Linked DNA regions of Tribolium castaneum. The protein of the gene in region 1 interacts with the protein of each later gene in a biochemical or structural test. Links are inferred from orthologs where the notes say so. Each region holds a gene or a part of one and is shown on either strand. Other genes may lie near its edges.

The links.
Region 2: the proteins of fu (region 1) and cos form a complex in vitro, tested with the Drosophila melanogaster proteins (4 studies listed by BioGRID, with this or other methods). The link is inferred for Tribolium castaneum from reciprocal best matches to the Drosophila melanogaster genes fu and cos.

Annotation. Positions count from the first base shown.
Region 1 is NC_087395.1:1,160,890-1,165,113, reverse strand, and holds the start of fu (serine/threonine-protein kinase fused), read left to right. Parts: upstream 1-1,424; coding exon 1,425-1,592; intron 1,593-1,640; coding exon 1,641-1,754; intron 1,755-4,224. Other genes in the region: centriolar and ciliogenesis-associated protein HYLS1, read right to left, coding at 427-599, 648-989, 1,041-1,194. UniProt on the Drosophila melanogaster protein: Probable serine/threonine-protein kinase; maternally required for correct patterning in the posterior part of each embryonic metamere. May be involved in control of cell division during metamorphosis and ovarian development. May interact with costal-2.
Region 2 is NC_087402.1:2,906,930-2,911,162, reverse strand, and holds the start of cos (kinesin-like protein costa), read left to right. Parts: upstream 1-1,433; 5' UTR 1,434-1,564; coding exon 1,565-1,566; exon of another isoform or gene 1,567-1,612; coding exon 1,613-4,233. Other genes in the region: uncharacterized protein LOC103312599, read left to right, coding at 1-236, 283-342, 401-505; mRpL48 (large ribosomal subunit protein mL48), read left to right, coding at 729-833, 880-1,140, 1,190-1,357. UniProt on the Drosophila melanogaster protein: Regulates cubitus interruptus (ci) processing by recruiting multiple kinases to promote its efficient phosphorylation.

The DNA of each region.
Region 1 (4,224 bases):
AAATGTGGCCGCAGAAGACAGTATTGAAAATAGAAAGAAAGGAAGATAAAAAACTATTAAAAAATAGAAAAATATTATACTCCATTAGATATTACGATACGCAAATCGCGTATCGTAATGACCTCAGTAGTTACACAACTTTTGACTCACTTGATTATATCCTTGAGTATGGAAGACAAGGCAGCCCCCTCGAAATTTATCATAAAAACAGTTGCGGGACAATTTCTAGATAAACAGGAGAAGCAAATGTCGTCAAAGTCGATTTTATAAATCTTGAAAGTTTTTTTTGTAATATTACCGCCATCGTTTTGTTTACATTTATTTAGAGGTTAGATTTTCTGCACGAAGTCATTTTCATTTAACACGACATGATTGTAACAATTTATTATAAAACTGGTCGTTTTAACGTAAAAATACACATAAAAATCAAGCTCTTGTCACTCTAGGTCCACTCATCATTTTTTCTCTAATAGCCCACCTCAAGTCGGTTCTGTTGTCTTCACCTGGAATTTTTTGTCGCTTCCAACACTTTTGATATTGGTGGTAGAGTGCGACAGGGTCACTCTTATTAATATTTGTTTGAATTCCCGGTCTTATGACTACAAGCTTAAACGTAAAAAAACTTACAAACACTTTAAAATACTTACAGGAACTTTTAGGTTTGCTAGAATTAATCATTTTTTTCCAAGGCACATCTTTAACGGGCACAAAGTCAAGCGTGTCTTCTTGACCCTTTTCAGGGGCTGTTTGTGCCTCCAACGTGTTTTCGTGACAATGGTGTTGTGGTCCTTTACTTGTCTTGATTTTTAACGAAATTACACTTTCTTTCTTTGAAACTGTTTTGGCTCTTGAAGAGTGAGTCCCTTGTGAATGTAAAACTAGAAACACATCATCTTTATTTTTTTCGTTTTCGTTCGGCACATCTGTTTCATTTCCAAGGCTTTGTTTGCTTCTCTTGCGTTCTTCATACTTTATCAATTTTTTCAAGTCTGAAAACCAAACTTTTGTTCAATTAAAGTAACAAAAAATGACTCACCAACCGTAAACAAATTCTTTCAATTGTTGTGGGTTAATGTTGTGATAACCCAAGTCATTTAAATACGCTAATACTTCCCTAGGGCTTATTTTTGTGGTCATTTTTAAGAAAAAAAATAAGAAAACGTTGAAACAAAACCTTAAATTTCTAGGCAACATACGAAAATCAAATTCCCTAAAAGTGGGGACATAAAATAAGTGTTACAAAACCTCGCAGTTGGTTAATTTCACAATAACGTTGATTTTATTAAACACTGCTAATCACAAAATCATTTTTATCAACAAAATTGGTATTTCTTTGCAAAAAATTGCTTTCCACCCAGTCAGTTACTTTCACGAGGGTTGGTGTCCCTGCCTGTCAGCGTGACAAACATCTGATTGTCAAAAAAATGTCACGCGGAAGTGTAAGTAAACAAAAACAATCCTCTCCAAGTGTAAAAAATGATATGGACAAGTATGAAGTTATTAAATTATTGGGCGAAGGATCGTTTGGACGAGTTTACAAAGCGAAAGTAATCGCAGATTCATCTTTTGTTGCCTTAAAAGTTATCTGTAAAGTGAGTTAAAAACTGAGGCTCGAACTCGTTCAAATTTATTTCATTTAGGGTCGAAGATCGAACAAGGAAATAATTGGTCTACGAAGGGAATGTGAAATTCAAAGACATTTGCATCATCCCAATATTATACAAATGCTTGATTCGTTTGAAACTCCAAATGAGGTGAGACAATTTTTCCCAAGTTCTTTTCGTTTTTTAAACAGATTTTCAATGTACCGTACAAATGTTAGGCAACCAACACCAAATCTGGTGATTTTCGTGTTAATTTGGTGAAAACTGTATAAACATTTTGTTTAGTGATTTTAGAAAAATGCTTTTTATACAAACAATCACATTTACAAAAATTTTGATTCACTGTTCAACGTCTGTTGTTATTTTTATTTAAGTATGATTTAACAAATTAAATGGGATAGTAGAGACAAGATGGAGTTTATTTTTTTTTTAATAAATAAAAAACCAATGTAAATTAGTCTGCTATCCCAGTAATGATTTAAATCATACTTAAATTTACAAAAATTGTAAAAAGTTGTGGTGACACCAGAAATCTAACAGTATTCCTCCAACATATGTTAAATTATTTTTATGTTTAATTATTTGTAGAATTTGTGTTCGCAATGAAATTACATTTTTTCATGTTATTTTTTATTATTTTTTCAGTTTTCTTTTATTTTCGTATCGTTTAACTGCTTGTCTCATAATTTTTTCTTTCTATCTTCGTTTAATTTTGTGTGTTTTCTTTTATGCCTTTTTTGCATTTTTTTATTTTGTTTTTTTTTAATTTTGTGGGTTTATTTCTCCTGCGACATTATTCTATTCGTTGCTTTAGCATTTCTTTTTCATATTACCATTGCTTTACTTTTTGTTTTTTTTTACCTTTTGCTATATTTCTTTCATATTATATTGTCTTCAGTTTATGGCTTCGTCTTTTGTAGTTTGTCGTTTGTGGTTTATTCTGTTCTTTTTTTTCTATTCTACCGAGTGCTCAAAAACCGACGCACCAACTTATTGGAATATGGTAGAGAATTGCTTACATATAACGGTAAAATTAGTAAAAAAATTCTTTGTATTAAAATTATTGATAAATAATTATATTAATTATATTATATATAATATATATATATATATATATTATAAATATATATATATATTATAAAAAATATATATAATTATAAATATTAATTATATTTAATTAGATGATATGTGGCAACGTTGTCTAACAGTGATGATCGCAATAGAACTTAATCAACAATAAAAATAAATTATTTTTGAAACGGTTTCCTAAGTAATAATTCCCAATGTTGACACATCTACAAATTGTGATTTTTTTGACGAATTTTATTTTTTTTAATTAAAAAATCTGCTAAAGTCTGATAGGAAATTTAAAAATAATTATTCATTGTTGTGTTAGGGAACGATTACTTAGTGTGAAACATAAAACTATTAAAAAATAATGAAAACTGAAGAAGTTTACAAAATAAGTTTGTAGCTCCATATTTTTTAAAATATGACATTAGGAATTTTTTCAAGATTTTTTCCGTGATCTACACATGCTTCTCAACAGCGTACCACTGAGTTGGTGCGCCAGTTTTTGAGCATCCTGTATAGTTCTATACAGTTTTATTCTATTCTATATAGTTTTTTCTTAATCATCCTTTTTTTACATTTTCAATAATGTTTTTTGAGGCCATCTTTTCCAATTTTTTATTTTTTTATTTAAAATTTAGATTTTTTGTCTTTATTGGTTATTCTTTATTTTCTTATTTTCTCTTTCAAGTAATTTCGTAAAACAATTTTTATTTCCTTGTACTGTTTTTTCCTTATTATTTTTGCCTATTATCTATTAATGATCTTGTTGCTAAATTAAATTGTTGTAATCAGTTGATCAGACGATCTAAAAATTTTTGTTTGAAACACCAAATAAAGAGAGACAATTTTTCCTTATATTTTACTAAGTTCTTTTCGTTTTTTAAACAAAGATTTTCAATATAGTGTATAAATGTTAGGCAACCAACACCAAATCTTGTGATTTTCGTGTTAATTTGATGAAAACTGTGCAAAAATTTTGTTTGGTGATTTTAGAAAAATGCTTTTTATACCAACAATCACATTTACAAAAAATTGTATTCACTGTTCAACGTCTGTTGTTATTTTTATTTAAGTATGATTTAATAAATTAAATGGGATAGCAGAGACAAGATGCAGTTAATTTTTTTATATAAATAAAAAATCAAAGTAAATTGCTCCTTGTCGGCTATTCTAGTAGTGAATCAAATTATCCTTAAATTTACAAAAATTGAAAAATAATGTTTGTGAATTACGCAGGACTGAGTTGTGGTGACACCAGAAATCTAACACAATTTGAAATCAGGAAACCAGTTACAATCTGAGTATTCCCCCAACATATTTAAAATTATTTTTATGTTTAATTATTTGTAGAATTTTTGTTCGCAATGAAGTTATTATTTTTTCAGTTTTCTTCTATTTTCGTATCGTTTGACTGCTTGTCTCACCATTTTTTTCCTTCTGTCTGTTAAGTGAAGGGGGCGCTGCTGTTGAAATTGGCGGGAAATGATGACGCGTGAGGCGCGTACGGGCAACGCCTAGTTAGTTGGAAGGACACTGTGGAAGTGTC
Region 2 (4,233 bases), on another chromosome or scaffold:
ATATAGCCGCTGAAAGCGTTAAACAACCACCACAATCGCTTAGGCAATTTCTTGACCAGACTTTTGATACGTACGTTGGGCCTTTTGTGGCTTTCTATGTGCATCATGTAAGCCCCGTTTTGAACCACATGGGGATTGCCATGGATCAGGTTTATAAATTAGTGACGGAAAACTTGCCTGAAATAAGCGACGAATATTACATAGCACAATATTTGCCGTTTGTCAAAGTGAAAAAGGTAAATTGTCTTTTATTGAGAAATAAAGTAAAGTATTCAATCGTAGGCTAAAGCTGATAGCAGACTCTACTTCTTGTTCATTCTGGCGAGTCTCTGCATTTATTTGGTAATTAATAGATTGACGAGTCATTACTGTTTTTATGAACCACAAATATTTTTTCCAGATTTTGTATGTTTACTTTAGTAGAAAACTCTATTTTTATTACCAATATGCGATCAGGAGGGAATATTTATGTAACGTACAAAAGATCTTCAAAGTAAAGGAATAATTTTTCTGTTTAATAATCGGCAATTACGCAAATCACATTCCATAGTCTCCAGATAGCGACCATTTGTAACGTTTACATTTACATCTTGTAACAGAAAAATTTAAATAAAGGTTTTGTTGTTTTTTTATCTTTATTTATAATCAAAATCAAAAAAAAGTGGACCACATAACCTCAAATTTGTTGGAGGTAACCGCTAAAGAATTTAAGTTCTCCAGTTTATACTATGAATAATTTATTGAGGGTCACACGTAGGGCTCTTCAATGCCGTTTCTTGCACCAGACGCCCAAATCATTCGGGAACAACCTCTACGAGCCCGATTATCTCGAGGTAACCAAATATAACCTCTTAAAGTTACCCAAAAAACATTTTTTAGGCCATGAAATCGAATCTTCCAATGTACGACACTTTAAATATTCAAATTCGTGGCTACGATTATGCCATATTGGAAAATTATCAAAAGTTTATTCATAAATTATTGCGAAGTATGGATATAAGTGTGGAGGAAGCTTGGGCAACCCCCCATCAAGACATTCAAGTCACGACCTATAAACCGAAGAGTGAAATTATCAACACACAGTACAATTTGAAGCACTATGATCGGACAGTACAAATTACTGATGTTTTATCAACTCAGGTATTTAATTTTTCAAAGTGAAATGCTTGAAACTGGCACGTATTTGCAGTTGCCTGTTATTTTACGTGCACTGGAGGCTAGTACCCCATCGGGGATCACCGTCCACGTGCGGCCTCATGAAGAGTGGGACGAGGAGATTAGATACGTGCCTGACACGGAGTTGAAACAATTGAAACAGGAACTGGACGACTTAGGGGGGCCTTTGAAGAAGAAATAAAAATGTTAATTCATAAATAGTCTAATAAAAATGATTAATTAACTCGTTTGCCGCTTTTATTTAAATCCTCCATTTTGTTCCCTCCTAGTGCTAAACCCAAACTCCCCAGTTGTGTTGTTTGAGGCAGCTGTAAAATGCATTTAAAATCCATTGATTTTTAATAAATTAACCCAAACCGCCGCAACCGCCAGGTACTTCGCCCCCATTATGTAATTCCCACCACTATCCAGCCCCCAACTCAATTGTAAATTTTAGGTTATACAATGGGTTGAATTCTCCCAGGATGGAGATGCACATAGAAACGGCGGTCCGCATCCATACGTCGGGCTACTCCCCCAACGACATGGTTTGCGTGCACTCCAACCCCGTCAACAACACCATCCAACTCGCGAATTCGCAAAACTACCCCGTCAATTACGCCCTTCCAGCCGACTGTTGCCAAAACACGGTGTTCACAACCACGGCAGCCCCTTTGGTGAATTATTTGGTGGAAGGGTGCGATGTTTCGGTGGTCACGCTGGGCCAGTCCGGGACTGGAAAGTCCTACACGCTCCTAGGCCCAGGTTTCCACTGTGCGGCTAGCGAGGCTGATCACGGGATTATCCCGCGGTTTATTCGCGAAGTTTTCGCCAAAATGAAACAATACAGAGACAGGAATTGGTGCGTGCATATCGCTTGGTCGCAGATTTGTGGCGAAAACGTCCAGGATTTGCTAGGCGTTGGGAGCATCGAGTGCCGGAATATCAGTGACGTGTTTCAGTTGATTCAAGTCGGAATGTCGAATATAGCCCCCAAGTGCGCCCACACGTTGTTCACACTCACTTTGGAGCAGCAGTGGGTGGTGGAGACAAGTGTGCAACATCGCGTCTCAACTGCGAGTTTTGCCGATTTGGCAGGGACTGAGAAAGTTCTAGTTTATGACAGCAACGGGATGATGCAAACGATTCCCACTGATTTAGGGATACAGACTTTACAGAGGTGTATTATGTCGCTGTCTGATTTTAACTGCAGTTTTGTGCCGTACACTCAATCCGTTTTGACGACACTACTGAAAGACTCGTTCGGGGGGCGCGCAAAGACACTTCTGATCTGTTGCGTGTCCCCCCTTGCTCAAGACTTCACCGAGACTTTGTATACACTTCAGTTGGGTTTGAGGGCTCAAATGATCAAAAATTTCGTCACTGTTAACTCATACGCTACGTTTGAGTCAACACAAGAGAATTGTGATGTTTTCGGCCTACAGTTCGCCGCCAATCAACTCCTGAAACTTGTCTCGAACGCTGAAGAGTTGTTCCAACGATTGGTAGCGAACGACTTGTTACCAAAAAGCGAACAAGAACAAATATCACAGTGGTTGATGCTCAAACAAGAATGCGAAGACTGTTTGAGTGAAAATTCAGAGCCTCATAGATCACTCGAGCGGATTGAGGAGGAAATTGAGAGTGATAGTAGTGAGAGCGAGGCGATTGAGGAGGAGGAGAAGGAGAGTCTCCTTGATAGGGTTCAAGGTTTGATGGAGACTTTTCGCTCAAACACCGATAAATTAGTCTCTGAGGCTAATTGTGCAAACGTTACGAATTCTTGTACCAAAGAAAGTATGAATAGCTCGAATAATGAGTATCATATGAAGGGGGCACGGGGGCGCAGAGGGAGTATCCACTCGGCTGAAGAACTAAACCCTTGCTTGTCCCTCAATACGTTACGTATTAATGACGATGTCGAGAGTCAAAAAATCGCAGTTACGTCGTACGATAACAAGAAGAAAATCCTTAAACAAATCGCCACTGCGTTAGAATTGAATCAAAAAAAGATCTCTGATTTGGAAAAAACAATTCGGGTCAAGGAAAACCTCATGGAAAAGCTCCTGAAGCACAAAGACACAAAATCGAGTGCTCACCATAAAATCGAACAAAAATGCCAGTTGTTACGCAAGGAGTATAAAAACGCCGAGGTCAAGTTCTTGCAAGCGAAATTACAAAAAAATCACCACTTGGAAGGGAAATACAAGAGCGAAGTTGTGGCCCTTGAGGAGCGACTGCGAGACACCGAATCGTTGAAAAACCTGACCGAAGACGGGAACAAATTGCTAGAATTAGAAAGTAGTCTACATACAGATCGGGAGAAGTTGAAAAAGTACAAACAAGAGAAAGAAAAGTATAAACAAATCTACGAGAAACAGCTGAAGGAGGAGCGCTCTAAGTCGAAAGCGAGTTGCGAGAGCGTGCCGAAAACCCCCGATGTTAAAGTCGTTGCTTTAATTAAACCAAACGTTTCGCTAAATAGCGAAGAACTTGAAAGTCTGAGACACGAAATTCGCAACTTGCGCAAAACCCGCGACTATTTATTAGAATTGCGGTGCAAAATCACGCTCAAATCCCAGAATAAAAAATTCCTGAACGACTCCGACGAACGCAAGTTGCTGCAGTACGAGGAGGCTATTGAGGCAATAGACTTGATCATAGAATACAAAAACTCGATTTTGTGTGGGCACCTGCCAGTCAAAGAGATTGAGGATCATGGCGATCGGATGCTGATGGAGCGGTTCCTCAAACTGAGTGAGAACGAAATGAGGATCCTCCTTCATAGATATTTCGAGAAGATTATCGATTTGAGGAGCAGCAGCAAAAAGCTCGATTTGGAGATTTTGGATATTGAAAACCAACACGAAAATCTCGCATATCGTGTGCAAAAACTCAGTCATAACTTACAACTGGTTAGGTCTGACGCTGAACGGAGGATAGCCTCGCTCCAGCAACAACACGAAGACAAGTTGTACTTGGTCTTGAGGAACCTGACGGGAGATGGGGCTGATAATGAGAGGATAAGTCGGGTCTTGGGGTCGAGACATTCCGCAGTGACGGTTCAAGTGGCAGGCG